Lepisosteus oculatus: one gene and its partners. The protein of the gene in region 4 binds, or shares a complex with, the protein of the main gene of each other region. Links are inferred from orthologs where the notes say so. Each region holds a gene or a part of one and is shown on either strand. Other genes may lie near its edges.

Region 1 (7,761 bases), on a different chromosome or scaffold from region 4:
TCAGTGATGTCTCCTGGTATCATTGGGTGTTTCGGGTCTTTCAACATCAGACACCCTCCCCCCAGGCAACCTAACAGAGGCCGATCAGACCCTGGCCTGCATCCACGTAGCACCCATGGGTTCCTTGTCCTGATCCACAACCATCGTGATGCTTTTTCCATGGCTTCAGTGGCAGCTTAGATAGCCTTCTCCCTCTGACCACCAGTGATGCCCAGGTAGTGGTAGGTCCTATTCAGCGTCTTTGGAGTCTACTTCAATGGGCGTGTATCCTGCCCTCCAGCTCTTTGAGTGGCACTGCTCCACCAGGTCTTTGTATCTCTAGCAAGAATACTACATTGGCAGCCTGATTCGATTCTTCCTAATCCTCAAAGGCTCTGACAGACTCAGTCCTTTGGATTCTTGAACCAACTGGCTGCTAATTACCAAATGGGATAGATGGCCTTATTTTGTAACCTTTCAATTTGTCATTTTGGATTCTTTTACCACTTACCAACAAACCTTGTCTGAAACACAGAAACAATACAAATACCGACAGCCATCTTTGTGCTGAATCCAGTAAATAACCATATGATCATTTCAGTTTTGAGCCATGGTACTCATGAGGACACCACATTGTTGGTAATCATTAATTCATATGCAGCTGCCAGATGAAGCCCGGAAATTACAGCTATAAAACCAATTTCAATAGTTTTTACATGGTGCTATCAATATTTATGGCTCCCTCTGCAGGGATCTCATGACCATTATTACATATTGTTTTCCCCAAGGATTCAACAGCAAGCAAAACCTTTGTTGTGCAACGGAGGGTACTAATTATGAAAGCCCAATATGTGTTGTACTCAATCTGGAAGTCTCCCATGGGTGAATTAAATTATAACAGTGCTCAAGGTCAAGGTCCTCACTGTGCTACTGTTAACAGAAGAGATGACCTTCCTTAACGCCTGTTTGAACACAATCTTTCAAACTGGGGGGAAATGGAGGCAGCTGGAAAAAAGTGCTAGGTCTGTGCCAAGTGAATGTTTGCAGTCTCTTTTTTAATTATTCAAAGCCTTTGGCACACCATTTAAATGACAAGAATCCTGCTCAGAGGAAACCAAAATAAACTCACTGCTCCTTTTTGCATGTAAAAACAAGTTTACCTTCATAGTGCTGCCTGCTTAGCAGTAGATGATATTTCTCTTTTTTCTTCTTAATAAATGTCTCATAAAGATCCAGGTGTATGAAAATGGATTTCCTTCAAAGGCAAGGAATAGTTGGTAAGACCATCCTCACACTGGGATTAAGGTGCTTGTACAGAAGAAGTAATAACTAAACAGTGTATAAACAAACATCCATTCATTTTCTAATCTGTTTATCCAATTCTGGGTCTTCGGAGAGGTGACTCCTATCCCACCAGGCACAGGGCAGGATACACACTGGTGGGACGCTAGTTTATTGCAGGACACACACAGACACACACACTCACACCAGAGTCAATTTTCCCAGAAGCCTATTAACCCAGTGTGTCTTTGGACTACTGAATGGGAGCACTTGGTGGAAGCCCATGCAAACACAGGCAGAACAGACAAACTCCACACAGACAGCACTCTAGGAATTGAACCCAGAGCCCCAGCAATGCTAACCACTGCAGCACTATGCTGGTCTAAACAAACATGTCCTTCAGATCTTTCCACTCCAGAGCTGAGAAAAACATGTACTTTTTTCAAATGCCATTTAAAAACGTAGTTACCCAAAGTCTGATTAAATGCTTCAGATTGCTTTGCTTGCACCTCACACACAGTGACATTTCTGTATTTCCCATCACACATGGCTGAACCTGCCCAGAAGATTTTCTTCTTCCACACTGAAGCAACTCAGTTTTTTCACTTGATAGTGATCATCACTGGCGATTATGGGACACATACACTGTGTGCCAGGCTTTATAATTCCTCTGACCGCGTATATCAATTACTTTAAATTGGATTTTCCTTAAAATTTAAGCCTAAACATTTTTAATTCAGTTAATTTGAAATGATGACTTTCAGTGAGGTAATGTGGCAGCTATCCTAAAATACTTTGAGTTAAATTAACTACCAAAACTCATAAAGACTGCAGTGGCATGATATTCTTTTCTAATCAAGAGATCACTATGTCAGACAGCACACTACAACTCCTACAATAGGACTGTTTTAATATTAGATATATAGAAACAGATAATGTTTTCTATTGATCAAAGTGAAGTATACAATATTTAAAAAACTGGTCAAAACACTGACAATCCAAGACTCTACTCTGTATTTCATTACATTTTGTCTGACTGATAACACTGGTCTGTAAAGCAGGAGGCTACAGCAAACACCAAATAATAACAATAACAGCATTTTCTTATTACTTTGTGCATTCACATGTATGTAACTGTAAAGCTAAACTGTAAAGTTCATTTCTGAACGGATACATCATCCTTTAAAAAATGATTTGTTTTATTATGTGCTCAATCATTTCTTTCACACAAATGTGAGGCTCCATGGCTGAAACATTGTGTCACACCTGAAGAAGGCTCCATGGCCAAAATGTTGTGTTTCTTTTCTTCTTTTTAGCATGGAATAAACCTTTACTTCCTCCTTTACAGCCCACGCATGCTGACACAGGTACTGTCATACTTGAGTTATGGAGGCAGTCAGAATGCTCTCTATAATGGCTCTGTAAAACTGTATTAGAATTAGTTGAGAGATACCCAAGATTTCAGCTGGTGCAAAAAGTACATTCTCTGCTCTGCTTCTTTCTGATACTGGTGATATTCATGTCCCATTTAAGGGTATTTAGAGTTCATAATTCCCAAAAAGTTCACCACAGACACCCACGTCATTGATTACCAGGAATTACCAGGGAGAGAGGCTTTCGAGAATGTTTCTAGAAATCAACCATTTCTACTCTTTTAAGGGTATTAAGCTCTGGGTACTTGCTACAGCACCATGATACCTACTAATCCAGACCTCCTGTACATAGCCTCATCATCATTAGTGATGAGACCTACAAGGGTGATGTCATCTGCAAACTTATTTAGTTTGACAGAAGAGTCGCTGGAAATGCACTTGCTGGTGTACAACAAATAGAGCAATGGGGAAGGCACACGTCCTTGAGGACCCCCTGTATTCACATACCTACACAGCCCTTGCCTTCTATTCAGGGAGAAAGATGAAGATCCACTGGAAAGGGGAACATTCAACTATTGCAATTTATTGTCATTCTGGAATGATAGTAATAAATGCAGAACTAAAAGCCTCAAAAAGAATGCTTGCATACACACCTGAGAGTTCTAGATGATGCAAAATGTAGTGAAGACCCATGGTAGCAGCATCATCACTGACCTGTGGGCCCTAAATGCAAACTGTAGAGGATCAAGATGTGAATCTGTAACAGTTTTGAGACAGCAAAGTATCATGCGTTTGAAAGTCTTCATTATGACAGACGTAAGAGCAACTGGTCTGTAGTCATTTAGACAAGTTATTTTGTCCTTCTTTAGTACAGGAACATAATGGAGGATTTAGAGCAGTTTGATAATTAGTGGAGCAAATCCAAAAACACGTACCTCAGGTTTGGCTGGTTATTTTAAATTTCCAAGTTTCATGAGCTTTTCAGAAAGTTATCGTGTGTCTCGAAGTTTAAGGACACAAAATGCACTAATATAAGGACAACATAATGATTCAGCCCAAAAACATTTTGACAGGTAGACAAAACGGCTGACACACAGAAGACGGATGACAATTGAAATTATTTTCTGCAGCTGTTTTAATGTCCCTTTCAAACATCTCAGGTACTACCTCACGTTAAATTTTATAAAAGCTCTGGGAAAATTGAACTACGCATTTGGTATTAAGTGTACGGACAACTGTATACGATTACAACTTCCTACTTCTGAATTCTAAAATAATAAATAAAAAATCGAACTGCATTTGTGGTTTAAACAGACGCTGTTTTTTTTAAAACGTTTTAATGGTAGTAGATGAAGAATTTAGTATTTAAAATTCCGTGACTGTGTATCATACGGATCACTGCATTGGCAGCGGAAGACTGCTGGCTATTTGACGCCACACTGTGCTTTAAGCAAACAATGACATTCAGTGAAACCAGACTACATTTACGGAGGGAGGTTACATCTCATAGATGTCAGACAAAACTATTTCTATTAAAATAGGTGACTGAATTTATTCGAGGCCCTCCTTGACTTTGTACTAGCGATCTCCCGCAGCTACCTTTTATTAAAGGCACGTTTTTAACGGAAAATGTGCACGCTGAAATGGCAACGTGACGCCAAGAAAGCAGCTGTCAAATAAGTCAAAGTTGAGAACAGTGGCGTAAAATCAAAGATATATAAGGTACAAAGAAATCTATACAGTATTTAATATAGTATAGTGTCTTACAACCGAAACGCATTTCACATTCACGTGACTTCACATTGACGTCGCATCATGTGTGTCGTCATCCGTCTGCGCCTAGTGCATGTCGTGAGGGGAAACAGAGAGTCCATGTGTAGTAGTTACAGGTTCTGCAGAAATTCAGAATGAGGGAAACGCCGCTGTCCAATTGTGAACGACAGTTCCTCCTGACAGCCATAAAAGAGAAAAAGGTATGATTATAATTTAGAGCTTTAGTTAACTTGAACAAATCTGCCAAGAAGAATGGGCAAGATTGTTGTGCATAGTTAAAGACTTAACCAGAGACGTGTGACAGTAATTTCAGCTAAATGTGTTTTTTAGGAAATATTGAGATCAGGGTTTTGAATACTCACGCAATCAACATATTTCATTTTTTTCTCTTAAGTAACTTACCCTTAGGAGTCTTCACTTTGTGCATTCGATTTCTTAAAAAAGTGCATAGTTTTGTGATTTCCCAAAGTGAGACACCCTAGGACGCGTCGAAATACTTTTAAACAAGTAAGCAGACCATTAAAGTCATCGGTTAGCTCTGGAGATTTAGAGCTCAGCGGGAATGAAACCCGGCAGAGGTACAGGGTTGTGACCTATTGATATTGTTGTTAGTTTTCGAAGGTGTTAGTTACTGGGACATTTCTTAGGCCTGCATTAATATTGAGGTGGTAGTGGTTAAATCTCTGGATTCCTGACAGGTTTGCGTGCCGCGGCAGTACTCTTGAACATGACGATTATATCCAGAGTGCACCAGCAGATCCAGCTGTATAAATAGGTCCCAAAATGTGAATGTAAAAAGAGGTAATCTCTTGTAAATCAGCAAAAAATTATATCTGCAAAAAAACTACATAATCTGAAATATTTGTTAATATCTGAAATTATTTTTGTGCATAATTTATTATTTATATAATTTTGCATTTTGTTGCTTATTAAATACATTAGCTCCTGAGTCAATCTTCAGTATGATGTTCAGTTCATTTCTAAGGCTCTTCAGTAAATATGACACATTCATTTGTAGATAGAAACTAATTTAAAAAACCTCGTCATGTCCACTTTGTAACCATACTGTTCCTTCTAGATTCCTAATTGTGAACATTTTAGATTCATTTGGTGATTTTAAATGTTCTGTTAAAAAATACACTTTCATGCTGTTTTTCTTCTTATTGTTACTCTCTTAATATACCTGACATCTGAATATATCTGATAAAACACTGTAAAATCAAGGGGAAAAAAGAACATGCTTATTGTTACAAGTTTAATTGATAAACAATATATATGGAAATAATCTCTTTGTTTACAACACTACCATTCAATATATAAAGATATGAAACTGAGAAAGGCGTACAAGAATAAAATAATATTTGTTGGCTCTGTAAAACAAAATTGAAAATGATTTTTTATTTAGTCCATTATTCTAGTTTTTGAGATAATGTGAGATGTATTTTAACATGAGCCTGTGTTTAGTTCTAACGGTGTGGTATATATGATCTATATAACTCAATAAAGTTTTGGAACTTTGAAATAAATATCACATTTTTTTTTTTTTTTTGTTTCAGCGCCTAGATGGAAGACAAACGTATGATTACAGAAATATCAAGATCACCTTTGGTACACAGTATGGATGTTGCATTGTTGACCTTGGAAAAACAAGGTAAACGTTTGTCTAATCCACAATTAATGAGAGATTAATTAAGAGTTTTAATGAAAGATAAGAAATCTTGTTGAATGCTTAATTCTCAGCAAGTCAAATTAAATGTGATCTCAGGCACATTGGTGTTTAAATTTGAACATTTATGCCTGCATTGCTCCATTCCCTGCTATCTGCACTTTTTTCACCAATTCTGTGTTAATAATTAATACGAATGTATTTCTGACAGTTTGTCTTCTTTTTTAAGGAGAAGAGAGTAAAGTACATGTATTCATAGTTTGATTTGTGTTTGAATGGATTTTGTAAGTATTGTGTAAATGAACCAGAACATCTCTTTATGATGCTGAGTGTGAAAAGTACAGCAGCAGTTCTCAAACTCTCTTGGAAAACTATTCACCTGAATTGTAAGGATAGCACACATTGTAGGATAGCAGCAGACATTTTATTGCTGTTAAAAGGAGCTGTTTCCATACCTTTGCTACTTCAGTAGCAGTTACAAATGTGAAACTTTAAGTCTTTAGGTGGTTTTATAATGAGAGGAATTTGTTTGTTTCACAGGACAAAGTTTAAAGGGTGAAATTTTGGTTATTTCAGCCAAAGGTCTAGTTCTACATTTACTTTTGTCCTGTAGTTGTTTTTTGTTGATATCATTGCTGAAAAATCTATCTCTCACAGATCAGGTATGTACAATGAAAGTGTAATGTCCCACATCAATTTCCCTACGGGATTCATAAAGTATTATCTATCTAATGTTCTTTGGTATATCTTGTTATCTTGTGATTACCTTGTTAATTTAACACAGCACTTAATTGCTTGTGAAAAATACTTTATCACTTACTTTTTGTGAAGCTCTCCTGTCCAACTGTGATTTTTACCTGTAGTAATCCAGTTAGGAATTTACTGAAGAATTTTTGCATCCTTTTGAGTGAAAAGACAAATTCATAATGAAAGACACTGTATATGGCTAATAAAGTGATCTTATCTTATTTTCAGAGTGTTGGCTCAAGTTTCCTGTGAACTTGTCGCTCCGAAAGAAAATCGCCCAACAGAAGGAATTCTCTTTTTCAACCTGGAGCTATCACAGATGGCTTCCCCTGCTTTTGAACCTAGCAGGTATAATTCCCAGCTACTCTTCAAATATAATTTTAATAAGGAATTAAATTCAGACAAATAACAAAGGATGCCAAATTTAAACAAAACAGTGTGGCTTTTTTAAAGAAAAAAGTTAGGAAACCCATGTTATTTTGAAACTCAGTAAAATAGTGAGTGTCACTGTCTTATCTGTGTGCCTTTCATTTTGGATGTACTCTGTTGTTACTGTATGCTGTATATTATTCTTGTCTTAGACCTACAATACTACACATAATTAATCAACACACATCCCACATATCAAACTAGTTAGAGCTGCAATGCATTAAAAAGAAATGTAATGCACTTTAGTGTGTTATAGTTATATGTACTGATATATTACTGTGGAACTAGAATGTGCTAATTTTGCAGTAGATATTATAATAATAATAATAATAATAATAATAATAATAATAATAATAATAATTGCTTACACTTATAAAGCACTTTTCTGGACACTCCTCTCAAAGTGCTTTAAAGGTAATGGGGACTCCCCTCCACCACCACCAATGTGCAGCCCCACCTGGATGATGCGACGGCAGCCATAGTGCGCCAGAACGCTCACCACACATCAGCTAT
Region 2 (8,551 bases), on a different chromosome or scaffold from region 4:
GCTTTTCTGGACACTCCACTCAAAGCACTTAACAGGTAATGGGGACACCCCTCCATCACCACCAATGTGCAGCATCCACCTGGATGATGTGACAGCAGCCATAGTGCGCCAGAACAGTGACAAAGCCAATTCATAAATGGGGATTATTAGGAGGCCATGACTGCTAAAGGCCAATAGGAAACTTGGCCAGGATGCTGGGGAACCCCTATTCTTTTCTAAAAACACCCTAGGATTTTTAACAACCACAGAGAGTCAGGACCTTTGTTTTATGCCTCATCCGAAGGATAGTGCCTTTTTTCCCCACAGTAGTGTCCCCATCACTATACTGGGGCATTAGGACCCACACACACCGCAAAGTGAGCACCTCCTACTGGCCCCTCTAATACCTTAATACCTCTTCCAGCAACGACCTTCCGTTTTTTCCAGGAGGTCTCCCATCCAGGTACAGACCAGGCTGACACCTGCTTAGCTTCAGTTGGTTGCCAGTTGTGAATTGCGGGGTGATATGGCTGCTGGCAATTCATAACTGATAACTTTTCATAACTAATCGCCAGAGCACCGTACAGCAGACCTTGAGTACTATAACAAGCACTGGAGCAGAGAACAGCACAAAACACAGAAATAAATAAACAGTGGCTTATTTTAATGTAACTCTGAAGTTTAAAAGGCGAAAGAATCATTCATATTTTATGAGGTCAGCCTAATACTGTATCATTACCTCAGTGGCACTGCACAAGCTATGAGAGACCCAGGGACACCTGCTAAGCTCTTCACTGTTCGGAATCTGGAAGGCTAACATTTCTGCAGATCAGACGACACTACAGGATACCTGATCTGCAGATCTCCCACTACCTCCTGTGCACTGTATTGCTCTGTACTGTCCGCTCCCTTTCCTGCCTCTGCCAAAAGCATAACCAGACGTCTCTAATGTCTTTGTACTGCATTTTAAACCTTGCTTGCAAAGTGCTAATGTTACATTCAATTGCAGATCATTTCACACAGCCACCACTAGTGAAACCCCTGTGATATTTTTCCTAATGGACTGGTCAGTCTTGTCTGCAGAAGGTCTGGATGTTCTACGTATACAGTGGCATACTTCCATGTGAGTACCCACACAGCTGTTTCACTGTTCTACGTTCAAGTGCTCAGCAACAAGGCAATTTATCAAAGAACTTAAATTCCATCACGATGTGGTTCTTGTTCATTGCTTCACAGGCAATGGTGACTTGAGGTGCCATTTGTGCAGAAGCACAGACTGCTGTGCCACTGTCTGTGTGTATTTAACCTCAGTCAGGCCCTATAGCTCAGTTTCACAGATGTTTCTCAGCATCATCTCCAATGCTTTTTCAGATAGCCTATAATTTCTATATATATATATTCAAGGAGGGATCTTTGTTATAGTTGTTATCATAGATATAGAAAAATGGTCAAAACATTTTTCACAGGCTTTTTAGTTTTCCTGTGCCCTAGGTAGAGTACCTGCTGTGCCTACTGGATAATATGACCTTACCCTCGACAAGATAATAAATTACCTAGAGTTCCAGCTGCTCACAGAGATCACTTATACATGTTTATACTGTACAGTTTCCATATAACTGTATTCCCAAGCATACTTTCAGACAGTGTAACAAAACATCACTTAATTAGCCCTGTACAGTTTCTTGCATTAGGAATTCGTCTTTTTGCATACCCCAGCTTGCTCTCCATGAGACACAGACAAACAGACAGGGAGAGAAGCTTGGGGTCAGAGCGCAGGGTGAGCCATTGTACAGCCCCCCTGGAGCAGCTGGGTTAAGGGCCTTGCTCAGGGGCCCAATGGAGTAGGATTCCTCTGGGGGCTTCAGGATTTGAACCAGCAACCGTCCAGCAACAGGCACAGGTCCTTAGCCACAGAGCCACTGCTCAGCCCATCTATAAGTTTTTAAAATTGCCTGAAACTAAAAATAATTCATATGCAAATTAAGATGAAAATGTTGCAGAGATACATACTGGTGGTTAATAACTCACAACACCCATCAGCTGTTAAACCCACTGATCAATGAAAGTGAGAATTCACTACAGGTAGGTTTTGTAGATGGCTTATTTATAAAACCTAAAAAGCTACCTGGATCATATTAGGATATGCATGGGCAGCACAGTAACAGAGTGGTTGTATTGCTGCCTTGCAGCACTGGGGCCCTGGGTTCAATTCCTGGATTCATCTCTGTGTGGAGTTTGAATGTTCTCCAATCAGCCTCTTGTGGGTTTCCTCCAACTGTCCAGAAAAAATCGGTCCTGTGTGTGTGTGTTGTGTGCATCCTGGGATGGATTGGTATCCATTCCAGGGTGTACTTTGCCTTGCTCCTGTTGCTTGCCGAGATAGGTTCAGGCCATTCTGCAACACTGTATTGCATAAAGTGTTTAGAAAATAGACTGATAGCATATGCATAGTATATGCAGAACTGAAACAGCAACTAACGAATTCATATTTAAAATAACTTCGTCTGTGGTTAATTTAAGAAGGTTGCATTACGTAACTAAAAAAGTGAACGTAATCTCGTTCAAAGAGCAGGTCTTATTCTTACTGAAATAGTCCATGTGAACAAACTGTATACGGTCAACCTAACTGTACAGCTTTCAGATTGAATCGTCTCGAGCATACCCCTGACGTTGCATGTAACTTCCTCTGTGCATCAACGGCAACGTCGATCGGATTAATCAAAAATGATAAATCACTTTCACAAAGGAGCTTCGAACGTTACGATCATCCTCTATGAAATTAATGCCAGTCATTGAAAGGCAGTAGGCTGCCTACTCTACACACACCCCGGGCCCGGCTACTTTCCCTGCCTGCCAGGAGACTCACCTCATGCGGTCCGTACACTACCGCGAGCGCCTTGGTGTTCCCCTGCTCGATGTAGGCAGACCCATCGCCTTGCGCGAAGACCCCCATGCGGGCTTGCACCTTGCGGAGCTCGGAAGGCTTCCTCCCATCCAGCCGGTATCCCTGATCGGACAGCAACTCTAACCCGGCCATGTTTCAAAACTCATGTGCGAAAGTGATACAGCCCGTCAAATAAAAAAAAAACTACTATACCCACAATCCTTCTGTTTTGCCGTCGCTCTATATATTGTCATCTTGTTCGTCATCTTCCTTGTCTTACGTAGTGTATTGCATATTCATTATAAAATCCTTGTCAGTAATGTTCCGCATTTTTGGGATTTCATGTTTGCCCTTCGTGATGTCCCATTAAACACGTTTTTGTTTGAGTCTCTCAATTAAAAACATTAAAATTAAACATTTTTACTTTTAGCTTGTGACGCTTATATTACACAACATATAGAAGATGCAAATACTTTTTAAATGCATTTTGAACGACAAAGAAAAATGTTTACAGTAAAATAAGCAAATCAGGTTAATACGTTAAACAGTTTGCCCCTCGGGGATATTAAAGACGTTCGAAACTCCTCACATCCTGGGGGTGTCAGTGACCCACCATGCATGATAACGTTGTCTTTTGAACCCAAAGTTTCTTGCAAGCTTGAAAGCGCAGATACAGCGTTTTAATAACAAAGCCGAGAGGAGGAACGGGGCTCGGGAATTGATTGGCTGGCCGGCCAGGTCTCATGCATTCTCCCAGAGCAGTCTGGATAAGATCTTTTCTGTGGCAAGAGAGAGAGAGAGGTAGCTTGTGGAGGTGTAAGAAGGAGCTTAGTTAGTCCCCGAGGTCAACGTAAAGCAGACAGGTACAGTTTGGTGTCAACAAAGCAGGTAAAGGAGATCTCACTGCACTCCACTGTTCAACAACCTCGATTTCATCAGAAAATCACACCGAGACTGCGAGACGTCAGACCGTGTTGGAGCCAGACTCATACTTCGTGTTCAGTGCTTGTCTCGATGTAAGTCTGACTTGACTGGGTACAATCTGCGTACGGCGCAAAGCAGAGAAAACTGATAAACTGGAAACTGGCAGTGATGTTGTCAACGTTAACGATGTATCTTTCTTTATCACTAATTTTAACTTAATTGTATACTGTTTAGAAATAAAAAAGTAGTAGAATTTACTTTGAAATTAAGCAACAAGTCAAGAATGTTACTTTTCTTCACGGTTGAGATATCGGGAAAGATACACAATGTAAAAAAAAAATGGCAGTCCAATCTTGGACCAGGGGTAACTGGCAAAACTGTCAAATCGCAGAGCTTAGAAGGCATAGACATGGTCAGTACTGGGATAGGAGACCTCCAAGGAAAGCCAGGCTGCTGCTGTGAATGGTTGTGGACCAGCAGGGGGGACTGTGCACCAGAATTTCCAAACCAGTGCCTCACATTGGTGTCCAGGGACACTGCTGTAAGGTATGCTATCCTTGTGGTGAGAAATAAACAAAACATCTGTGTGTGTTAAAGATCTAAGAGCAAATGTTAAGATAATTGAGGTGTTATCTTAACACTTTAATATAGCCTGGTCCACCTGATGTGATATGTAGTAGGACAGCTGCTGTAGAATATTTGAGGGTGTTATATGAAGCTACTGGTTTTTGGGGTGAAGTTTTTACATTTGTTTCTGGGGTCCCTCTGGACAGTGTCTGAGAAGTGTCAGGAGTTCCAAGGCACATTGCTGGGAAAGACTGGGAGATTTGCATATGTTATGCATTAGAGTGTACATGCATAGTAGAGTAATACAGGATCCAGAACTATACAACACAGGTTCAACAGTTCGGCAGTGAAAGAAATGCAGAACTTCTTACAGAGACATTTAAAAAGGAATGTCATTTAATCTAATGCAGAAAGTCATGTATTCCTGATAGTAGCTGTGGCAATCTAGGGCTGTTATTAGTAGCACATGGCTCAAGACAGAAGTACAAGCTGGAAGAAAAACCAGTAAAACCACTGAAAAAACAGTATTCTGAGAACTTACTGACTGATTCCTGCAGTGCATGTAATCTAAAAAAAATCACTTAGTCCATCACAGGACACACACTCACTAGGTAACCAAACAGGCACACTAGGTAACCCTACCAGTATATGCTTGGAAGGTGTGAGGAAACCAGAATAGACACAGGACCATGGACACTCCATGGAGAAAGCACATCAGGCCTGAATGGAACTCAGGACCCAAGAGCTATGAGGCTGAGTTAATGCCCATGTCATCTAACATAGAAAGGGAATGTTATCTACTCTATGTGCAAACTCTAAAAAACACTTTTGTAGTTACCTATAAGTGTAATGTTACACATTAACCTTTTTTCACAAAGCTTTAACTGATAACTGTTGAGAACAGTTTGCCATAGCAAGTACTGGGCTTCTAATCTCTGTTCATGTGGATTTGGCTATTGCAGTAACAGTAGTATGCATCTGTGGGCACTATGAAAAACTAAACTTGCGGGACCAAGTTCTTTGTTGTCCCTTTTTTGAGCATTCAAATACAAATACAAATACCATATCTTTCAAAACCCTGTGTAAGAGAAGGCATCAATTTTGTTTTTTCTTTTCCACAGTATTGCTAGAATACTCTGTTGCTAAATTTTTACCCTTAAAAATGTACAGTTGCTTTCAAACAATGAATAAATATTGTCCTGTCCTGGAGTAAAAAGCTACAGAATTAAACTTGTAGGTCATCTCATTACAGGGCCAGGCTGATGTGTCTAAGATCCCGGGGTATCTTTCTATACTGTGTGGCTGGGCAGTATAGTCCATTGCAATTATTCAAATTCAGTTTCAATGAGCTTTATTGGCATGACCAACCAATTATGAAATTGCCAAAGCAATAACAAGTTCAAAGGCATGTTCAGTCATCTACAACAACAAAAAAATATTATTTGGGAAGCTCGATCTTCGTTTCTGAGTCTGTGATAGTTGATCTTCTACTGGGCTTCCAGCTCTATATTTGTTTTCTAATCCTCTCCCGCAGTTGGATTGGAAACTGTTGTGATTCTAGCAGGAATGGAAATTAAACTTGTTATTTTAAGGAGGTATCTTTATCTGATACCAGAGTATGTCGTGCACTACAGCAGAAAGTGCATCTCTGTCTCTGTCCTGCTGACAGTGGGAAAACAGCCTGTCCTCTCTAGGCAGCCAGGTCTGCCTGTGTTGACCAGTATTTATGGGCATATTGTGAAAAATACTTCACCCAATAACAAAGTATTGTCTAGTATCAGTGAAGGACCTTTCTGAATTGAAGGAAACTTTAAAACTTTGGAAGAGGTGTTAGTGAGGCCAGCAGGGGGCGCTCACTCTGTAGTCCATGTGGGTCCTAATGCCCCAGTAGAGTAATGGGGACACTATACTGTAAACAGGCGCCGTCCTTTGTATGAGATGTAAAACAGAGGTCCTGACTCTCTGTGGTCATTAAAAATCCCAGGGCGTTTCTCGAAAAGGGTAGGGGTGTAACCCCGGCGTCCTGGCCAAATTTCCCATTGGCCCTTACCAATCATGGCCTCCTAATAATCCCCTTTATGAATTGGCTTCATTACTCTGCTCTCCTCCCCACTCATAGCTGATGTGTGGTGAGCATCCTGGCGCATTATAGCTGCCGTCGCATCATCCAGGTGGATGCTGCACATTGGTGGTGGTGTAGGGGAGTCCCCATTACCTGTAAAGCGCTTTGAGTGGAGTGTCCAGAAAAGCGCTATATAAGTGTAAGCAATTATTATTATTATTATTATTATTATTATTATTATTATTATTATTATTATTTTTACCTCAATATTTTACCACTTTATACATTTCTTCCCTTGGCCACAACAATATCTGTATACTCAGCTGTCTTGCTTATTTTACATACAATCGGTCCCTTCATTGCCGTCTCTCCTCGATTTTCCTCTTCTCCCTCAGCATGGCGGCCGTGCTGGAGAAGTTTGACTTTGCAATCGATCGGGGTGGCACCTTCACGGACGTGTATGCCCGCTTGCCCGGAGGCCGGGAGCGAGTCCTCAAGCTCCTCTCACATGACCCCCAGAATTACCGTGACGCCCCGACTGAGGGCATTCGCCGAATTCTGGAGGAGGTGAGGGACAGGGGAGAACGGGAGATGGTTGGATGGTGGAGAGGGAGTCAATAAATGAAGGGGTAGAAGCAGAAGGAATAGTGTCAGAAAAAGAGGGTGGGGGGAGTGAGGAACTGGGAATTCTATTCTGTCCTAATAATCTCTATGACCTCTGGCATGTGTCTTGATTGTGTCTGTCTGCTTTCTTGGCTGGTCACCTGGTGTATCTGTCTCCCCATAACCCAGGAGACTGGGCGGGCATTCCCCCGAGATGAGCCCTTAGATCCTTCTCTGATTGGCTGGATCCGGATGGGGACGACAGTGGCAACCAATGCGTTGCTGGAGAGGCGGGGCGAGAGGACTGCCCTCCTGATCACCCGTGGCTTCCGAGACCTGCTGCACATTGGGACCCAGGCCCGACCTGCGCTGTTTGACCTGGTCAGCCCCACACTGAGTCTACTTTCTTCTCTGGTGATGCTGTGTGTGAACCACCTGTCACTTCAAAAGCAGACATTGCTTTGGATCGCCTCAGCTTCCAAATTTAGAGTGATTCAGGTGTTATTTATCATGGCTGTTTCTAGATCTAATTCAAATTTAATATAACTAATTTAAATGAATGGCATTTTTATCCAAAGATCTCTACAATAAAGAGATGGCAATATCTGGATCTTGTTGCCTGAAGATGAGTGTGACTACATGTGATGCTGTTTGTTGTCTTGAAGGAGGTACAGATGGCAGAGATGCTGTATGAGGAGGTGATCGAGGTGGACGAGAGGGTGGTGCTGAAACAAAAGGGCTGCGAGCTGCCCAAAAGAGCACCAGAGCACACCGTCACAGGTACTGACCCAGTGAGCCGTAATCAAAGACCTGACCCTATGATCCTCCATCATAGGTGCTGCCCCAGTGACCCACTATCACAGTAACTGATACACTGACACTATTGCAGTCTCCCCGACACAGATACCGGCCCACTGACACATCATCACAAATACTGACATACCACCACTGTGTACTTGCAAAACAAACCTTTGTTGCACACACACTGACACTGGCATACTGATGCTGTCAAAAGCACTGACACACTGAGAAGGAGACAAGGTGACACATCAACACAACTACACCAACACGTTGAGATACAACAGGTACACACACCAACACACTGACGCAAGGCAAGTCCTGACCTATGTCATCAGTACCGACATGGGTTGGTATGGGCAAGTACAGAAAAGAGTCTCTTTTACTGACACTGTGATAAGTTTCAACACACTCGCAAAGGTACTAACACAGGTATAGGGTGAATAACAAGGACAATGATACATTGGCAGAGGTGTGGACTGACTGACACAGATACAGTATATACACAATGACACAGGTATTGACACATACGTCCACAGTGATAGTTTTCAAAGAGGATTTGTACACGTTTTCTGCCGAACATGCAAAACTGGTCAATAAATATGATTGAGAATTGTTAGGTAAGCCAAAACTTTTAAATTATGCTTTTTTTTCCAATTTAAGACTAAGATTAAAAAAAGGAGGCTTCTGAATCAGATTTAACAAATAATTTCAATCCGCAATCTCAAAAATTG
Region 3 (8,100 bases), on a different chromosome or scaffold from region 4:
GTGTTGATGTGCCATTTTAGAGAGCTACTGTACAGATATAGGTGCCCAGTTCATATGAGTCAGTTATGGCTATTTATTGACCATTGATGGAGATGGGGGATTTGAGATCCTGTGAGTGCCTGAAGTCCACAATTACCTCAAAGGTTTTGGGTGTGTTATAATCAGGTTATATGCATGAAGACATAAGATTAATAGTGCATATAAAATAAAAACAACATTTTTTCATATTTGTTCATTAGTAAGACAAGTCTTCTTCTGGTCAATTTGTAAAAACTATGTATGGACATGTCAACCTTGCTCTTTGGTCATTTGTAACCACCGCAACAATGATGCCTGGATCCAATGTGTGATAAATGTTTAATATAGTGTGTTAATATAGTGTGATATAGGCCACACTGCCTTTCTAAGCACGCATTGTATGTGTAACACTTTTAAAGAATGTGTAAAATAAAGACTAGGTGTGAAATCAGCTGATACACTGTGTTAGCCATATTTATATATGTTTCATGTTCTTGTATCTCCAGGCTGACCAAGGCGGACATCTTAATCGCCAAGGATGGGACATGCTGAGGAATGGTCAGTGTCCTTTCACCTCGAGGAGAAAAACCCTTGTATGTGTCTTGATATTAATACTAATAAAACCCGATTTCTGCATCCTTCCTTTGTGTTTGTGGTGAACTTGGAGGGGTGGGAAGGTGTTGCTTATGAATAGATTTTAAACAATTCGGACTTAAAAATGATCAGCCTCAGAGAATCTACTTGATCCTCTAGTATCTTTTGACCCACATGTGAAAAATTTGATTAAGACATCTTTCTTTCACCTTAGAAACATTTCCCGCATTAGGCAATTTTTATCAATGTCCAATGCTGAGTGCCTGATTCATGCATTCATAACATCAAGGCTTTATTCCTGCAACTCGTTACTATATGGGCTCTCTAACCCTCTTCTTAACAAGTTGCAATGCAGTATGTTAAAAACTTGGCAGCTAGGCTACTAACTCACACCAGGCTCTGGCAGCATACTGTATCACTCCTACACTTAAGTCTTTGCATTGGTTGCCTATACAGTTCCGTATTCAATACAAGATCTTGTTGTTGATTTTGTAGGCTCTAAACAATCTGTCTCCATCGTACCTCTCTGAAATCCTCCATGTTTTCACTCCCCCCCTGTAGACTCCATTCAGTTGAGGCCTGACATTTACTCACTGTCACCAGGACTAAATCACAGACTTTTGGTGACCGTGCCCTATCTGCAGCTACTCCAATGTTGTGGAATGGCCTTCCCCAGACTTTTGCGAGAGACAACATCTTTTAACTCTCTTCAAATCTAAACTTATAACTTACCTTTACTATTAGGTCTATGTCTGATTGCCTACAGTCAGTTTGTAAAAACCTGTGTGCTTTTGTTTTTTTTTCATTTACTTTTATTGTACTTTTCTTGTCTTTTTCTTTATTCATGATGTGCAGCATCCTTTGGATTGGAAAGGCACTTTATAAATAAAAGTTATTATTATCAGTCAATGGTAATAAAAGCCAGGTCTAAATGCACACGAAAAAGGTGATTAATCGATGACTCAAAACTGAAAATCTTTTGGAGTTATAATTGTTGTCTTCAAACCATTAAGCGAAAATGTAAATAAGCATAGAAATCCATTACAATGTGATTTCGTAGCGGCCAAAAAATGTATAGTACCAGTCACTGTGCTACGGAGGAGCTCAGCCAAAACATCTAATGGCAAGACATCGTGAATGTAAATAGAAGATCTTGGATACAGTAGCTTTATAAAAGACTGTCTAATCTGGTAGATATGATCTTTCTAAAATGAAGCGTTTTAGTTTTAAAAGAGTCTCAGGGAAAGACAGTATTAAATAATGCAGCCTTGCAGTCACAAAGAAACTAAACTTTGACCTGCTCTGAACTCATATTTACTTAATACTAAACCTTTTTTAAAATGTACTGTATGTATACCTAATGTAAATTTACAATCATACTTTTTTCTGTTTACTCTTAAATTGCCCAACTCCAATATTACTTCATCGCTGTAACCACTCTTATAAACAGAAAGGAATGAAGCCTCAGGTTTCTGCAGATAAGGGAGTTGTTACATTTACTGCCCTGAATTATCTAGCCAACCTTTTCACACTTTGTTGCTCTCAAACTCCTCTCTTTACCTCCCTGGAACCTGGATCGCTCTGTGATTCAGCTTCAAAGAGGAAAACCTAGCACTGCTATGCTCCAAGACTCTTTTTCGCATTTTTGAAGAAAGTTTCCATTCTGCCTAAAAATCTCTTTGCATTCAACGACCTTTACTGTTGTTTGACTGGATTTTCTCAACAGCTGGAACCTGTTCATTGAGGAAAGCTTAAATGTAGCTACTGTAGGTGTCGAATTCTTTGTGGTCATAGGCCTGTCAGCATCAATAGATCTCATAAACCCATAAGAATAATTACGGATTAGTGAAGGCCATTCAGCCTCTTTAGTAGGGATGGAGTCTTGTGTTGCCCAGGAATCAAACCCAGGCCAATTGACAATTCAGCTTGTCTACACCCAGTTATGAACTGAGGACCTTTTCTGTGTTAGGTGAACATATCCACTACATTATACTCAGCTAAATTATTTAATTCCTTTATTGTCCCATCTGGCATGTTTACACTGCGGGCAGGTACAAGACATAACACAGAACATAGCTTTTTACTAAAGGCCCATGGAGGGCACACCAAGTACTGAACCTTGATCTGTATTGTGGTTTAAGAACGAATGTGGAAAATTTAAAATCATCTTTAGATTTAGAAGTGTAGTGTGTGTGAATTTGATCTTATAGTATAAGGTTTGAGATTAGACACATTTAACTTATATACAAATATGGAGAGAATTGTATTAAGAAGTATTTAAAAGCACAAGCAGAATCCCAAATAATATGTCATTCAATACATATTAGTTGACTTTCAGTTTTAAGCAGTGGATTCAATTGCATGCTATACTCCTTGTTTAACGATAAATCTGAGTGTTCTTATGGTTATAATGATTGTGTTTACATTAGGTACAAATTAGTAACTACATTGTATCTAAACCAAAAGTCGAAAGCGCATGCGTGCACCGTCTGCAGCGTTGAACATTGTCATGAACTCTAAACCCAAAGTTTCAACTGCGCTTCTGTGCGCTGTCATTGCACAATGTATTAGGTTGTTCATACATTCAAAGTATCTTTGGCATATAGTACCTACGAGAACAATTATCGTGTTATGACGAGAAGGTACATTATTAGTACATAGTAAATTATCTCGTAATTACGAGACAACACATGGGATATACCTTTTCCTTGATAACAGGAACGCGCTTTCGTACTGCAGTGCTGTTTTTTGTTTGATACAACAGACGTCGCTGCAGGTCAGGTTTGAATAATCTCAGCCCTCTGGCGCAGATTTCTGAAGTTCTGCGCAGATTTCTGCAGTTCTGCATAGACCTGCTCAGCTCAGCTTTACTCTCTCCTGTGGCTGTATGATGTCAGGCAGCCTGTCCTGGCCGCAGCCAACGAGAAATTGCGGCTGGGAACCAACAGAAAGAGACACTGAGGGTATGAGAGATCTAGCTGTCAGATTCCAAGTGTGCTACACAACTTTTTGGTCCTAACATCAATAACAGCTTGAATCGACTCCAGCAAAAACAAAGAAATAAATAGTTATTCTATGGACGTTGTCATTTATTTTCTAACGCGAACCCGTGTATTCCCATAGAATTCTCACAGGCTTTATTACCAACAGCTATGTCACCCTGCAATTTACAACTCACAACTGGCAACCCACTGAAGCTCAACAGGTTTGAGCCTGGCCAGTAGCTGGTTGGGAGACCTCCTGGGAAAGGTACGGTTACTGCTAGAAGAGCTGTTACTAGTGACACCAGTAGAAGGTGCTCACCCTGAGGTCTGTGAAGGTCCTAACGCCCCCATATAGTGACGGGGGCGCCATACTGTAAGAAATGTGCCGTCCTTGGGATGAGGCGTAAAACCGAGGTCCTGGCTCCCCGTTCTCATTAAAAATCCTAGGGCGTTTCTAGAAAATAGTACAGGTGTTATTTTAACCTGACTAAAGCCCCCCCCGCTTTACCAATCTTTGCTTCCTAATACTCCCCATTTATGAAATAATTGGTGTGTGGTGAGCGTACTGGTGCACTACTGCTGCCGTCGCATCATCCAGGTGGGGCTGCACATTGGTGATGGAGGGGAGTCCCTATTACCTACCTGTATAGGTCTAGTAAAGTACCAAATTAGTGTAATTATCATTATATTTATTATTATTAATATTATTATTATGTATAAGAACAGTTAGTGAGATTCACGGAGTAAGGCAAGTAAGCGTGTGACAACACCAGAATGCGAACAATAGCAATTGTCCCCCGTTTTTTAATTAAAAATTAAAAATGAGTTAACCAACGCATCCGTGGTGTAAAACAGAAATGCTTTACCAGAATGAAAATGAGGAAGAAACCAGAGGACTCCAAATAAACAAGTGGTAAGGCCCTGATATGAATTGTATTTTTTCAAAACTATTCGTTTCACGTGTTCCTTTTTCTTTGACTTGTAGGGAACTTTTCTAATTCCGCAGCACAACAGCTAACTGATGCGTGACGTCACTTAACCAGAGCCGCAGTCGCTGCGCGGAGATCTCAACCGCTTCTTCCGGCAGGGCGCTCTGCGTGCAACACTGTTTCCCCTCCGCCGGAAACGCGTGTTACTGTTGAGATAAAAACACAGAAGCAATGCTGGACAGCTTTAAAGAAAGAGTTGGCGAGGTTTTACTACCTGGCGATGTTTTTTCGTTTGAATCACCAGGTTCCGAAAGTAATATACAAGATAAAGTTATTTGTGGACCCGGGCTGCGCCGTAATGGAGATGAAATCCTTGTTTGCAAAAGTGGCATTTTGCGTCACAAGGAGCCGAATCTGTACTGGATAGATTCCCAGCAAAAACGGGTAAAGAGTGGATATCCATCACAGCAGTTTTTCTGAGCGTAAAATATAATGTTTGGTATAACGTATGAACAACAGAAGTTCACTTGTTTAATTATTTTTAAGTTATTTAAAGAAGTTAATCTATATGAAAATGCTTGCAATCGCCCACGTGGTTGATGTCATTCATGTAGACATTTACACAAGAACAAGAACACATCTCGTTTCTGAGACCAGTATTCACCTGCATATATTGTCAACCTGTTTCTGTCTGCAGTGCGCTTCTTCTGCATAGTCACAAACTACTAATAGCAAAGTTCGATTTACTATTACCTAAAACACGTAGTACATCAGACGGGTCTCTGTTAGGTCTTTTAGATTTGTTTAATCATGCTGATATAATTTAATATTTTACCATATAAGAATGTTATTTGTATATGCTGCTTTAACTAAAGATGATTGCCTGAGGTGTAAAATGCTCTCACAGTACTACTGTGGGCTTTTAACGAGAATGTTTACAGCTGACCTATCTGGTTTAAGATTAAAGATAACCAAATGTGCTAGATGGGGCGAATGGTATTTTTAACCTTTCTTATTTTGAAATATTTCTTCTTGAGTTCAAGACTAGATGTGCTTTGGTTCTTCAGTATCTAGCAGACTGTTACCTCCCCTCCAGGCGGCCTCCTGTCAGCTGATTTCTGGTTTGCTGTGTTTCCACTCTTATTCCACACTCTGGCAAATACGGGGCCCTCTGTTGCTGCACCCCAATACTCCATAACCATCTCAGAATAACCAGGGACTCAGCCACACTGGGTGCTTTTAAATCTATCCTTATTTTCTTCAGTTATTTGGTTGTGATTGAGTTTTTTTCTGATTCTGCCGTGTAATGCTCATTAATTTTACTGTGACACGTGCTTTTTATATTTTACAAGTGCCTTGAGAATATTGCTCTTAAAGGTACTATTTAAAAGGAAAATGACAAATGTTCCCCTGATTTATGAGGGATACAGCTGCATTCAACAGGAGACCAGACATCCATGAGACATCTTCGGACTGATTTGCCCATAAACAGCAGGCTTTGCCCAGGCAAAACAAGTCTGGTGTATTTTACAGATCTGGCATTGTGAGAAATACCTTTTTTATATTTCAGTACGTCCCGGCGAAGGGGGAGTGTGTCATTGGTATTGTGACAGCAAAGTCCGGCGACGTTTTCAAGGTCGACGTTGGCGGAAGTGAACAAGCTTCTCTGTCCTACCTGGCTTTTGAAGGGGCAACGAAACGAAACAGGCCGAATGTTCAGGTACGTGCTCTGTAGTACGAGTACAGGGGCTGTGTGGTAGACTGGACGTTTCTGGGGAGGGGGCAGACTGTGAGGTTACCATATGTAGATGCACTTAGTGATCAAATTGTTCTGTCCGCCGGAGTGCGGGAGTACTACCGCTACCAAGTTAGCTACTGCGTTAAAATGGTTAAAAAGCTACAGTGCACAGGCTTTAAAATCAAAGAAAAAAGACCCAGAGTAATTTGGTTTTAAACTTAAATTACATTTTATGCTAAAAATGTTCCTACAAAAAAATAAATCATACTGACAGGCTTCTCATGGCAGCTAATCTTTATCTGTGTATTACAAAGAAACTGTTTTATGTAGACCATAAAAGCCATGCAGCGTCATATAAATAAATTGCTTGGTTCCGACATTTAACTGGCAGCGTTTGTCTCCTGCAGTACAATGACAGAGACATAACTGCAGAATTTTGTCAGTGCTACTTAAGCAAAGTTGTAGCTCGTTTCTGTGATTAGGCTATAACTCTTCAAACGGGTTTCAGGAAGTTTTTAGTCATTAGTTTTTCTCAAATATAATAGGTTGTCTAGTAATAGGAAACAAAAGTACAATGTTTGAAGCCATTAGAACAAAAATGTGTTGTGGGTGTTCCGAGTCCCAGATGGGAATCTGAGTAGGCGCTGCAGTGTGGGTGAGGTGGGTGCGGGCTCAGAAAGCAGCCGTCACACCATACCTTTTGGGAGCAGCTGGACTACTCCCTACACCACCAGTTCTTCTATCGTGACCAGCTCTTGGGCTGTGTAATTCCAGGTTCTTGTCTACTATAGAAGAAGGAAGAAGGAGTAGAATGTCCATGTCTCGCTGTGTCTTATTTCAACCCTAAAGGCAATTTAAAACCCCCAAATCTGTTTTTGTGGATATGCCATTATATATTACCATCACGAGCTACAGTTATCTTAGGTCACACCTTCTGTAGTAGGGGTTCCCAACTTCATTTCAGCTTTGCTCTATTACATAATTAGACCCCTGACTTCAATCTTTTGGTTTCAATTCCTAAGCACGTTGGAGGTTGCCTTTCAACTGCTGTGTTTCGCAAGTAGCATAAGATCTCCAGCTTCCGAGTCGAAAAAGAGAACTTTCTGTAAAGCACTTTTAAAGGCGCTATGTAAGTTGATTCATTCAGTTGTTTGCAATCTAATGAAGCATCATCCTAGCTGAAGTGAAGATCTCAGTTTGAGTGTAATCCAGCCTGTGCGTGGGACCAAAGATGTTTTCGTTCCGAGTTGTAAAGCTATTCTGGAAATGGAGTAAATTTTATTGAAATAAAAAATGTCAATTGAATATATTCTGTTCATATTAAAGATTTGAGTTGTGGTGCATACAAAAATAAAGCTTGAACAGCAGAACGTTATAATGCTATTGTTCATTTTGAAAGCAGGCATCAACTCGGGGAGAGTTAGATCAAGGGTTCGGTAACAGATGTTTAACTTAGACAATTGAAATGTTTTAGGTATTAATAGAATCTTCCTCAAAATAGGTTTGGTAATACATTTTTTCTGTTTGAGCTAAATGTTCAGTATAAAATAGCTGGAGAAGACTATTAGCTTAATTGCCTTAATTTTACATTTACAGTTCTTACATTATAGAAAAGGATGTTTGCTTTTGGATGCTTTGTGAATCACATTATCTAAATCTGTGTTAGCAATTTTGGATATAGCACTTAACAGTTAAACACCACAGGATATAAGTGGAAGCTGAAGGGAAGTGCATGTGAAAACCAGAACAGGATGTGCTTTTTTACAGGGGGGGTGGTGGGAGTCTGGGACAAGGTACCCAGCCATGTTGTTGAACCTGATATCCTGACGTCTTTCAA
Region 4 (8,117 bases):
GAAGAAAGGATACACTGATCAGGTCTCCTTCTTGCAGGTAGTCTCTCATGGTCAGCTCATCTTCTGCCGATCTCCTTCTCTGAAAAACACCCAACAGTTAGGCCTCATTCCCTTCACACATGGAGGCTAATTTCATATTTTACAGTGCCCCTGAATAGCTCAGCTGCAGAAGAGTGCAGCCTGTGTACATTTGTGGCAGATTTCCAGAGTATATGAACAGACATCGGCGACAATCATTCCCAGTCAGCTCAGCACAATGTGATGCAAGCACTACAGGGGTAGGGCAGGTTGTACTTCGCCCAGGGTTTAGCAGTAACCCATACAAGCCCGTTACCTCTGCTTGCTGTGTGATCACACCGAGCTGCACCGGTTTCCACTTAAATCTGCTGCTCGGTCTGTGGGTCTGCAGATTAAAACTGCAGGCCATGTACATCCACACCTCTCTTGGGTCTCTTGGTGTCCCATCTTTTTGGATTCAACACCGATCTCTGTTGTCTGCCCGTAGCATAGTAAAACTCCCAGGGAAATTGTATTTTTTCCCACAAAACAATCTCCTGGCAAGTCCTGCACAGCGACAGAGACATGCCAAGTCCCCGGCGCTCTTCCTGCTGGGGGCAGCCGCCTGGCCTTACCAGCTCTCCCCCGGGGAGGTTCACTGAAGACAGCAGCAGCACGGAGTCCAGCCGGGAGTTCGTCTCCACCTTCCACCGCTTCTGCTGAACCTGCAGAGACCGGCAGGCGGACGTTACTCCCCGTGGGGCTGATCTCCGCCCAGAACACCCCAGCCCCTAGGTCACCCCAGGAACCTCCGAGACTTCTGGGATTAACTAGCCGAGTCGCTTTAAGAACAAAATCAACTCTAAATGCCAATACAAGGCACACTACTGCAAAAGGCCTCTGAATAGGTCTTCCTGCACTGCTCCGAAGAGAGTGAGTGGAAAGTCACTGCGCTCCCGTTACGGCCAGCTGCTGAAATTAAGTTGCGAGAATGCCTAAAGTCCATACAGAACTGCTGCTGCGACAAGGAATCCGCACACGAGGCTACAGTCTTGCATGGGAACGCACAGAAAGCACGGCAGTGATTCAGATGGGCCTGTTTTTTAGAATGAGTCCCACTGCATGCCGCCTGCTTCCGATGGGAGAAATCTGCGAGTGATGACTGTCTAAGGTGCTTCATAACTTTGACTATTCAGCATGGAGGCTGCAGTGTGGTGGTATGGGAGTCCATCGTTAGGTCTGTGCACATGGGTTTCTGTAAAAGCCAGGGGCACCATGACAGCACTAGACTCCCAGTACTGACGGAATGCATGATGATGCATCACATAATGGCGATTTAAAAAGAGGAGTGATGAAAATACATTACAGCTTTCTTGCAGCCCTGAACTAAAACCTACCAAATGGCCTTTAGAAATGAGACCCAGAAGAGCAAATAAGGAAGAGACTATGGACAGCAGAAGCTGCAAAAGAAAGGCGCAGTATTCATTTGAATGGCTCCCCGGCGTGCTATGGAAGGTATTCCTTCTACAACTGCAGTGGTGATCAAAGCAAATGGCGGGCATCGCCCTGTTCGGCACACTACCATCCTGTCCTTTATCCCGTCGGGCTTTTTTTTGCAATAAAGCGTCCGTTCGACACGAGATTAACTTACTCACCGACGGCTTGTTGACCACCGATTCGGCGGAAGATCTGCGAGTGAAACGGACCCGTGCACACTTGTGCGCTCCTGTGCACCAGCACCGCTCACCACAGCACACCCCACCTTCTCTCGCCGCCACGTACCTCAGTGACCCGGCCGACGACCACGTCCCCGACTTCGCCGTTGAACCTGGGCACAAAGACGAGACGCACACAGGGAAGGGTTTCTGCCTAGAGCCTAGAAGAGCTGGCGAACGCACCAGGTGGGTTCCAGGCCGCCCTTTATCTGGACCCTGCCCCCACCACAGATTGGAAAAACACTCGTTTCATCACGCAGCCCCCAGCCGGGGAGGGAGGTGAAGCTCACGGTCACCAAGGAGATGTCCGCGGCCACGTCTTGAGTCGTCTGCGGACACGAACTCGCCGACACGCGCCAGAGCTAAGGCACGAAGACGGCAGCACGCCCTCCTAAGAAACCGCGGGCGTGGCGCTCCGGCGGGGCTCACCTCGTCTTGAGGGGTCTCACACAGATCAGCTTGTTGACCCTCTCCACCTCTCCAGCCACCGAGGCGGTCAGCTTCTCTTCGTCCATGTAGGTGCCATGTCCCCTGCAGGGAGACAGAGCGCAGACTCAGAGATCAATCCTTTTTTCCATCTGTTTCATCCAGTTCAGGGATGCGGAAGTGCAGAGGCAGGGTACACCCAGGACAGGACACCAGATCTTCACAGGGCACACAGACACAAACATATGCCCACTCACACCAGGGACAGTCGTACTAGACACCAACTCACCTACCAGCATGTCTTTGAACTGTGGGAGGAGACTGGAGCACCAAGAGAGAGAACATGTAAAATATTTTACCAATACTACGGTTGCTTTCAAACGCCTACACCGAGGAACGTCTTGTGATCCGTGTTGTTGGTGAACGACGCTGCGTCAGGACCGCACGACAGCTCTTCCCACATTTCAGGATGAAGTTAAGGGAGGTAAAGGATCCCGAGCACAACTAGTCAATGTGAAACAGCACATAAAACCCCAATCTCTAATCTCACTGAGCTACCGTAGTCCACACTAAACGGCACACTCGAAACGTTCCACCGTTGTTTTATCAGCGACATCTGCCGGACGAGTGTACAACAACAAGCGAGAAATCCTCTACATTAAACCAGATAGCGTTTTCTCCGCTCGTTAATCCAATCTTTACATGAGGTTTAAGGGTTTCATCTGTTTTTTATCTCCTCCACCCTAGGTGACCGTTTTTCAAAACCAAAAAACAGTCAATCTGCCAGCGCTACTTAAAATGCTCTTAAACCCACTGACAACATTAAAGAAAGGTAATGTCAACCCTAACTGCTCAGCTTTCATTCAGCTGAAAGGTATGGTCAAGGCAGAAACTAACTCAAACAGATCTGCATACATTTCGGCGAAAATTAACACAACAAACTTTATTCCTGTTATTTTGCAGAGAATACACGTGTACGTAGACATCAACTTCACAAAGGCCTCTGCGAACAGTCTGGAAAATATTACAAAACCTTCAAATACCTCATGAAACCAGTGTCTGTAGTAATGACATCTCCTGGAGCTACAAGATGTTTTTCTTCGATTGCAGATAAAGAATCTGTCACCCGTTTACGTCCACTAGGTAGTCTGATATCAACAGCCATCTTCAATTCCTCTGTGTGCACACGGTCGCGGCTCTGTTCGATCACGTCACGGCGCTTATTGTTGACGTCATCGCTCTCCGGGCACCGAAATGCAGTGCAGCACTACATCACAATAAACTTTTAATGAATTAATCACCTGGACGTATTATGTAAGTTTTTTACGTACTCGAGTGAATAAAGAAATCTACAAATACACGTCGATGTTAGAATAAAACAGCGAAATTGAGTAAATCACTTCTGAATTATAAACTTGAAAACTGAATCTTCTTGTTCACTGATTCAAGATATTTATTTAATAACGTGAGTTATATCTATATAGATCACTGTATAGAAAACAACAAGTCAGGGAAAAATAATAACAATAAAAAATAATTCTCGCCTGCAGCTCACAACGGGCAGCCCCACTGAAGCTCAGCAGGTGAGCCTGGTCAGTACCTGGATAGAACACCTCCTCGGGAAAAACTAGGATTGCTGCTGGAAGAGGTGTTAGTGGGGCCACCAGGGGGCGCTCACCCCGCTGTCCATGTGGGTCCTAATGCCCCAGTATAGTGACGGGGACACTATACTGTAGAAAGGCGCGGTCCTTCGGATGAAACGAAAAACCGAGGTCCTGACTCTCTGTGGTCATTAGAAATCCCAGGGCGTTTCTCGAAAAGAATAGGGGTGTAACCCCGGCGTCCTGGCCCCAAATTTCCCCCTGGCCTTTACCAGTCACGGTCTCCTAATAATCCCCATCTCTGAACTGGCTCCATCACTCTGCTCTCCTCCCCACTGAGAGCTGGTGTGTGGGGAGCGTACTGGTGCATCATCCAGGTGGGGCTGCACACTGGTGGGGGTGGAGGGGATCCCCATTACCTGTAAAGTGCTTTTGAGTGGAGTGTCCAGAACAGCGCTATATAAATATAACTAATTATTATTATAACAGATCCCAGCAATTCCATTAATACAAAAAGTATCGCGAATTTACTGCCTCCTCTAGTGGACACTTAGGGAAACGTAAGTGAGTTTGGAAGGACATTTTTTTGGAATAATAATTGTATCTGTTTCATTTACCAGGAATGATATTCTTTGTTTTATATGGGACGTTACATTTTGCTTACTGTGTGAAACTCACATGATACCAAATACTAAGGTGTCGGCCTACATGTCTGAGCAATTCTGATTATTATTATAAGTATATAAGTGTAAGCAATTATTATTAGTAGTAGTAGAAGTATTATTATTATTATTAATTATTATTATTATTATCTAAAGTCTTAAATAGGCAGCGGCGTCAGCATGTGTAGGCTGCAAAGGAACAAGTAAAGGTTTAGTCAATGCTGTGAAGTTTCGGCTGTGGTGCCTTCCTCTAGTGTGGTGGACAGAGGAAAGCCAGCAGGAGATGAAGCTGGGAGTGGACAGGAGGCAAGAGCAGGAGAGAAGCAGTATCACTGCCCAAGATGGGCAAAGTCGAGAGAGGTGTGAAGTCAAAGCCTGCAAATGAATAGAGAGGACTGGAAGGAAACGAGTCTGTCGGTGAGAGAAGGAGAAGGTGTGATCCTAATTTCAGGATAATCTGGGTTTCTGATGTCTTTCTGTGATAGTTTGAAAGAGTTTTGAAACCGTTTTTAAGTTTTAATCGACACTTCAATGAATTCCTTGAGACTTGTGTTTGTGTTGACCTTGACAAGAAAAGAATAACATTTTCACAGGTCTCTACGCAATATGAGAAGACAATATAAAAGCAAAGGGCGATATACCACATATCAAATATAGTGGTACAATGCACTGCTAAGACCACGTTTAGATTACGGTGTTCGATTTCGATCACAACACTGAGAGAAAAGGTTTTTACTGTTTGGCAATCAATCCAGAGAAAAATATCCAAATACCAGGATCAAGATTAGGAGGGCATGGTGGGTCAGTATTAGCATTGCAGCCTTGCAGCAGTGAAGACTTGGGTTGAGTTCCTGGAGAGATGTCTGTGGGGAGCTTGTATGTTCTCCCCGTGTGTGCATGGGTTTTCTCCGTGTGTGTGTGTGTGCCCTGTCATGGACCAAGCTTAAAATGACTACACTGACAGGCTGAAGGATCTGGACCCTTTTAGTCTTGAAAAGTGAAGACTACACCTGACATGTTCAGATTGAAACATAAACATAAGAAATATAAGACAGAGGGCACAAGTGGAATCAACAGGAAAGTGCAATTGGGACTGAGAACAGGAGGCATCTCTATACACAAACAGTTGCAGAAGCATGGAACAAGCTACCCAGGTATATCAAACTCCCTGGGTTCTTTTCAGAAACAACCGAAGGAGATCCTCCAATAATTAGCTACTGGAAACCAAACGAACCAGATGAGCCAAATCTCTCAGCTTCTTTTGTCATCTTTCATATCTTCTTACTTTCCTGGCTCATAATCTTCTCTTAGCGCTTCAATAAGCCAACACTGAAAATGTTTAGAGGAGTTCTGCAATGAGTGCATATTGGTGGTTTTGAAGAGTTACAGTAATAATACTTACCTGAATGTTAAAAAAAAAAGATTGAAATAATCATGGGTGTTTCATGAACACAAAATTATGCATGTAGTAGTTTATTTAGAATGCAAGATGAAAAGTACAAAGTTATTTACATCTGCATACATATACTATTAATATATAATACCAAAGTGTTGTAAATACTGTTTTACATAAATATGTACATACATAAAGTGACTATTTAGTGGAAGTATAGCACAGTTTTAAAATTATATTTACATTTCATATATATTTTAATCATTTTATATACATCTTCTGTTTCTTACGATTCTTTTTCTCCCGTACAGGAAGGGTTTCATACAGGTGTGGAGACACTAGGGGCGCACCAAGCCACACAAAAGCAAAGGAGCATCGCAGCTGAGAGCCATCGGAGAACGATAACATCCATCAGAACAGTTTGAATACAAACTTAAACCACATCAGCTCGCCGAACACTGTGTGTCATTTCTCATCTTTTCAGTAACCATTATGGTATAGAAGAAGTTCTTATAATGTGTGTGTTGTTTTAAAACAGTAACATATTCTGAACAAGATCTAGAGAACCGGATGCATTAAACAAAACAGCATTGTTTTCTCACACAATGTAGCACATTTTGTATACAAGAAGTATACCACCAATTTTCCCATTTATACCCAAGGTATTCTAAGAAACAGTATGTCTTTGACATACCTACTGCAATCCATAATTTGACTGACAGTTGTTTTTATAAAAAGTTTTCTTGTTAAGACATATAGACAGGTTCCATTGTGTTTCCAAAAGAGAGGAGAGCAATTTAGCTAACATCTAATCCTTCATACATACTGTATTTAGCACAGCTGTCACTTTCTAAAGCATGGGAGAAAAAAATTCAGGCACAGCGCACCCCCCTGCCATTAATTGTACCGGTGCTTAAATCGACTACTGTTTTTCAAAAGTCCGCTTTAAGCTGATGCGCAAAGCTTGCGGCAGCGCGAAACCGAACTCCTCGCGTCTAGTCAACGATTACAGGTGGCGGCGAGAGGTCTCATCGCTGAAATAACGTGCCGGTCCGTGAGTCTCTCGGAGCTGCCTCTTGTCCGCGTTCACATCCGCCGCGTAGCACTGCCCGGCCTTCGGGTGAGCTTGCGTTTACTTTCCCTTTCTGCCAATGCGCACAAGGTTAAAACGTGGTCATGTGCGACCGAGACGCGGGGCCAGGGCGACGCGGAGGCCGGGAGAAAGCGAAGCCTCCGCGTGTCGCCGGGGTTCGCGACCTGTTTCTCTGGGTCCCCAGGCTCCCCGCCATCACAGGACCATGGTGGGGATGTGGTGCGCCAGGGACACCGGGTGAGGCACGGGGGGCATCTGCGGCGGCGGGGGCGAGTGGGCCTGCAGCGAGACCACGGCCCCGGTGCCGGAGGGCCGGTGCCGGGCGCTCTTCTGGTGCGCCCGGAGCCCGGCCAGCTGCGAGTAGGCGCTCTGGCACACGTGGCACTTGTAGGGGCGCTCGCCCGTGTGGAGCCGGACGTGGTTGCGCAGCGTGGAGGACTGGCTGAAGCGCCGGTTGCAGAAGCGGCAGACGAAGGGCTTGTCCAGCGTGTGGATCCGCATGTGCGACCGCAGGTTGCTGCGGGAGTTGAAGCCGCGGTGGCAGATGACGCAGCGCATGCGGCTGGAGGCGGCGGAGGACGAGGAGGAGGAGGAGGCGGAGGAGGAGGAGGAAGAGGAGGCGGACGAGGAGGAGCCGTCACACAGGTGGAAATCGTCTGCAAGGGGAGAAACGGGCGCCCAGCCGTTAATCGCACCGTCGTGTGAGAGGGCTCCTGCTAAATCCAGACTCCTCTGACGCAGCTTGCGATCGAGCACAGCGGCGGCGTCCTCTAGAGCTGTGTAGCGGTTAGGAGTGTCATCGTGGCGCAGATTGTATAACACCACAAAAGAAACTAAACTGGCCATACCATGCACCCATGTGACTTAAAAGTCCGCCGCTGGGACTTAATTTCGGAATAACGTAGCATTAACGCTTCAAAAAGCGGGGTTCAAGTAGGCAACACCGCCTCACAGACATCTTTGAATACACGACTGGGGGAATGCTACGGGAATGCCCTTTGCTCAAAACAAGAAGAAAAGCACCTCGCGATTAAAAGGCTTAATCACAGTATCTCAGAAATCTATGGCCCCAAAGACAAAGGGATTTGACTAGATAGCATCTTTCCTTTCAGCAGCGAGACCCACAAGCGAGGCAGGAGCAGTTTAAAGGTAATAGGCGCGAGTGCTAATCAACTCTTTGTCACACGGAGGGCCCTGATAGCGATCAGCCCTGCTCGGCTTAAGCTCCTC

What was found.
Region 1: exosc2 (region 4) and exosc9 share a complex: the UniProt entries of both Homo sapiens proteins name them as parts of the RNA exosome core complex. The link is inferred for Lepisosteus oculatus from reciprocal best matches to the Homo sapiens genes EXOSC2 and EXOSC9.
Region 2: exosc2 (region 4) and exosc4 share a complex: the UniProt entries of both Homo sapiens proteins name them as parts of the RNA exosome core complex. The link is inferred for Lepisosteus oculatus from reciprocal best matches to the Homo sapiens genes EXOSC2 and EXOSC4.
Region 3: exosc2 (region 4) and exosc3 share a complex: the UniProt entries of both Homo sapiens proteins name them as parts of the RNA exosome core complex. The link is inferred for Lepisosteus oculatus from reciprocal best matches to the Homo sapiens genes EXOSC2 and EXOSC3.

Annotation. Positions count from the first base shown.
Region 1 is NC_090696.1:10,752,949-10,760,709, reverse strand, and holds the start of exosc9 (exosome complex component RRP45), read left to right. Parts: upstream 1-4,466; 5' UTR 4,467-4,540; coding exon 4,541-4,606; intron 4,607-5,962; coding exon 5,963-6,057; intron 6,058-7,047; coding exon 7,048-7,167; intron 7,168-7,761. UniProt on the Homo sapiens protein: Non-catalytic component of the RNA exosome complex which has 3'->5' exoribonuclease activity and participates in a multitude of cellular RNA processing and degradation events.
Region 2 is NC_090701.1:28,949,951-28,958,501, reverse strand, and holds the start of exosc4 (exosome complex component RRP41), read right to left. Parts: upstream 3,201-8,551; 5' UTR 3,017-3,200; coding exon 2,846-3,016; intron 1-2,845. Other genes in the region: oplah (5-oxoprolinase), read left to right, coding at 6,813-6,983, 7,209-7,400, 7,685-7,799. UniProt on the Homo sapiens protein: Non-catalytic component of the RNA exosome complex which has 3'->5' exoribonuclease activity and participates in a multitude of cellular RNA processing and degradation events.
Region 3 is NC_090696.1:33,368,637-33,376,736, reverse strand, and holds the start of exosc3 (exosome complex component RRP40), read left to right. Parts: upstream 1-4,731; 5' UTR 4,732-4,756; coding exon 4,757-4,969; intron 4,970-6,095; coding exon 6,096-6,245; intron 6,246-8,100. Other genes in the region: probable pancreatic secretory proteinase inhibitor, read left to right, coding at 525-570; myosin heavy chain, clone 203-like, read right to left, coding at 4,664-4,731. UniProt on the Homo sapiens protein: Non-catalytic component of the RNA exosome complex which has 3'->5' exoribonuclease activity and participates in a multitude of cellular RNA processing and degradation events.
Region 4 is NC_090719.1:14,545,483-14,553,599, reverse strand, and holds the start of exosc2 (exosome complex component RRP4), read right to left. Parts: upstream 3,348-8,117; 5' UTR 3,304-3,347; coding exon 3,182-3,303; intron 2,244-3,181; coding exon 2,142-2,243; intron 1,826-2,141; coding exon 1,780-1,825; intron 723-1,779; coding exon 633-722; intron 80-632; coding exon 14-79; intron 1-13. Other genes in the region: prdm12b (PR domain zinc finger protein 12b), read right to left, coding at 7,083-7,663. UniProt on the Homo sapiens protein: Non-catalytic component of the RNA exosome complex which has 3'->5' exoribonuclease activity and participates in a multitude of cellular RNA processing and degradation events.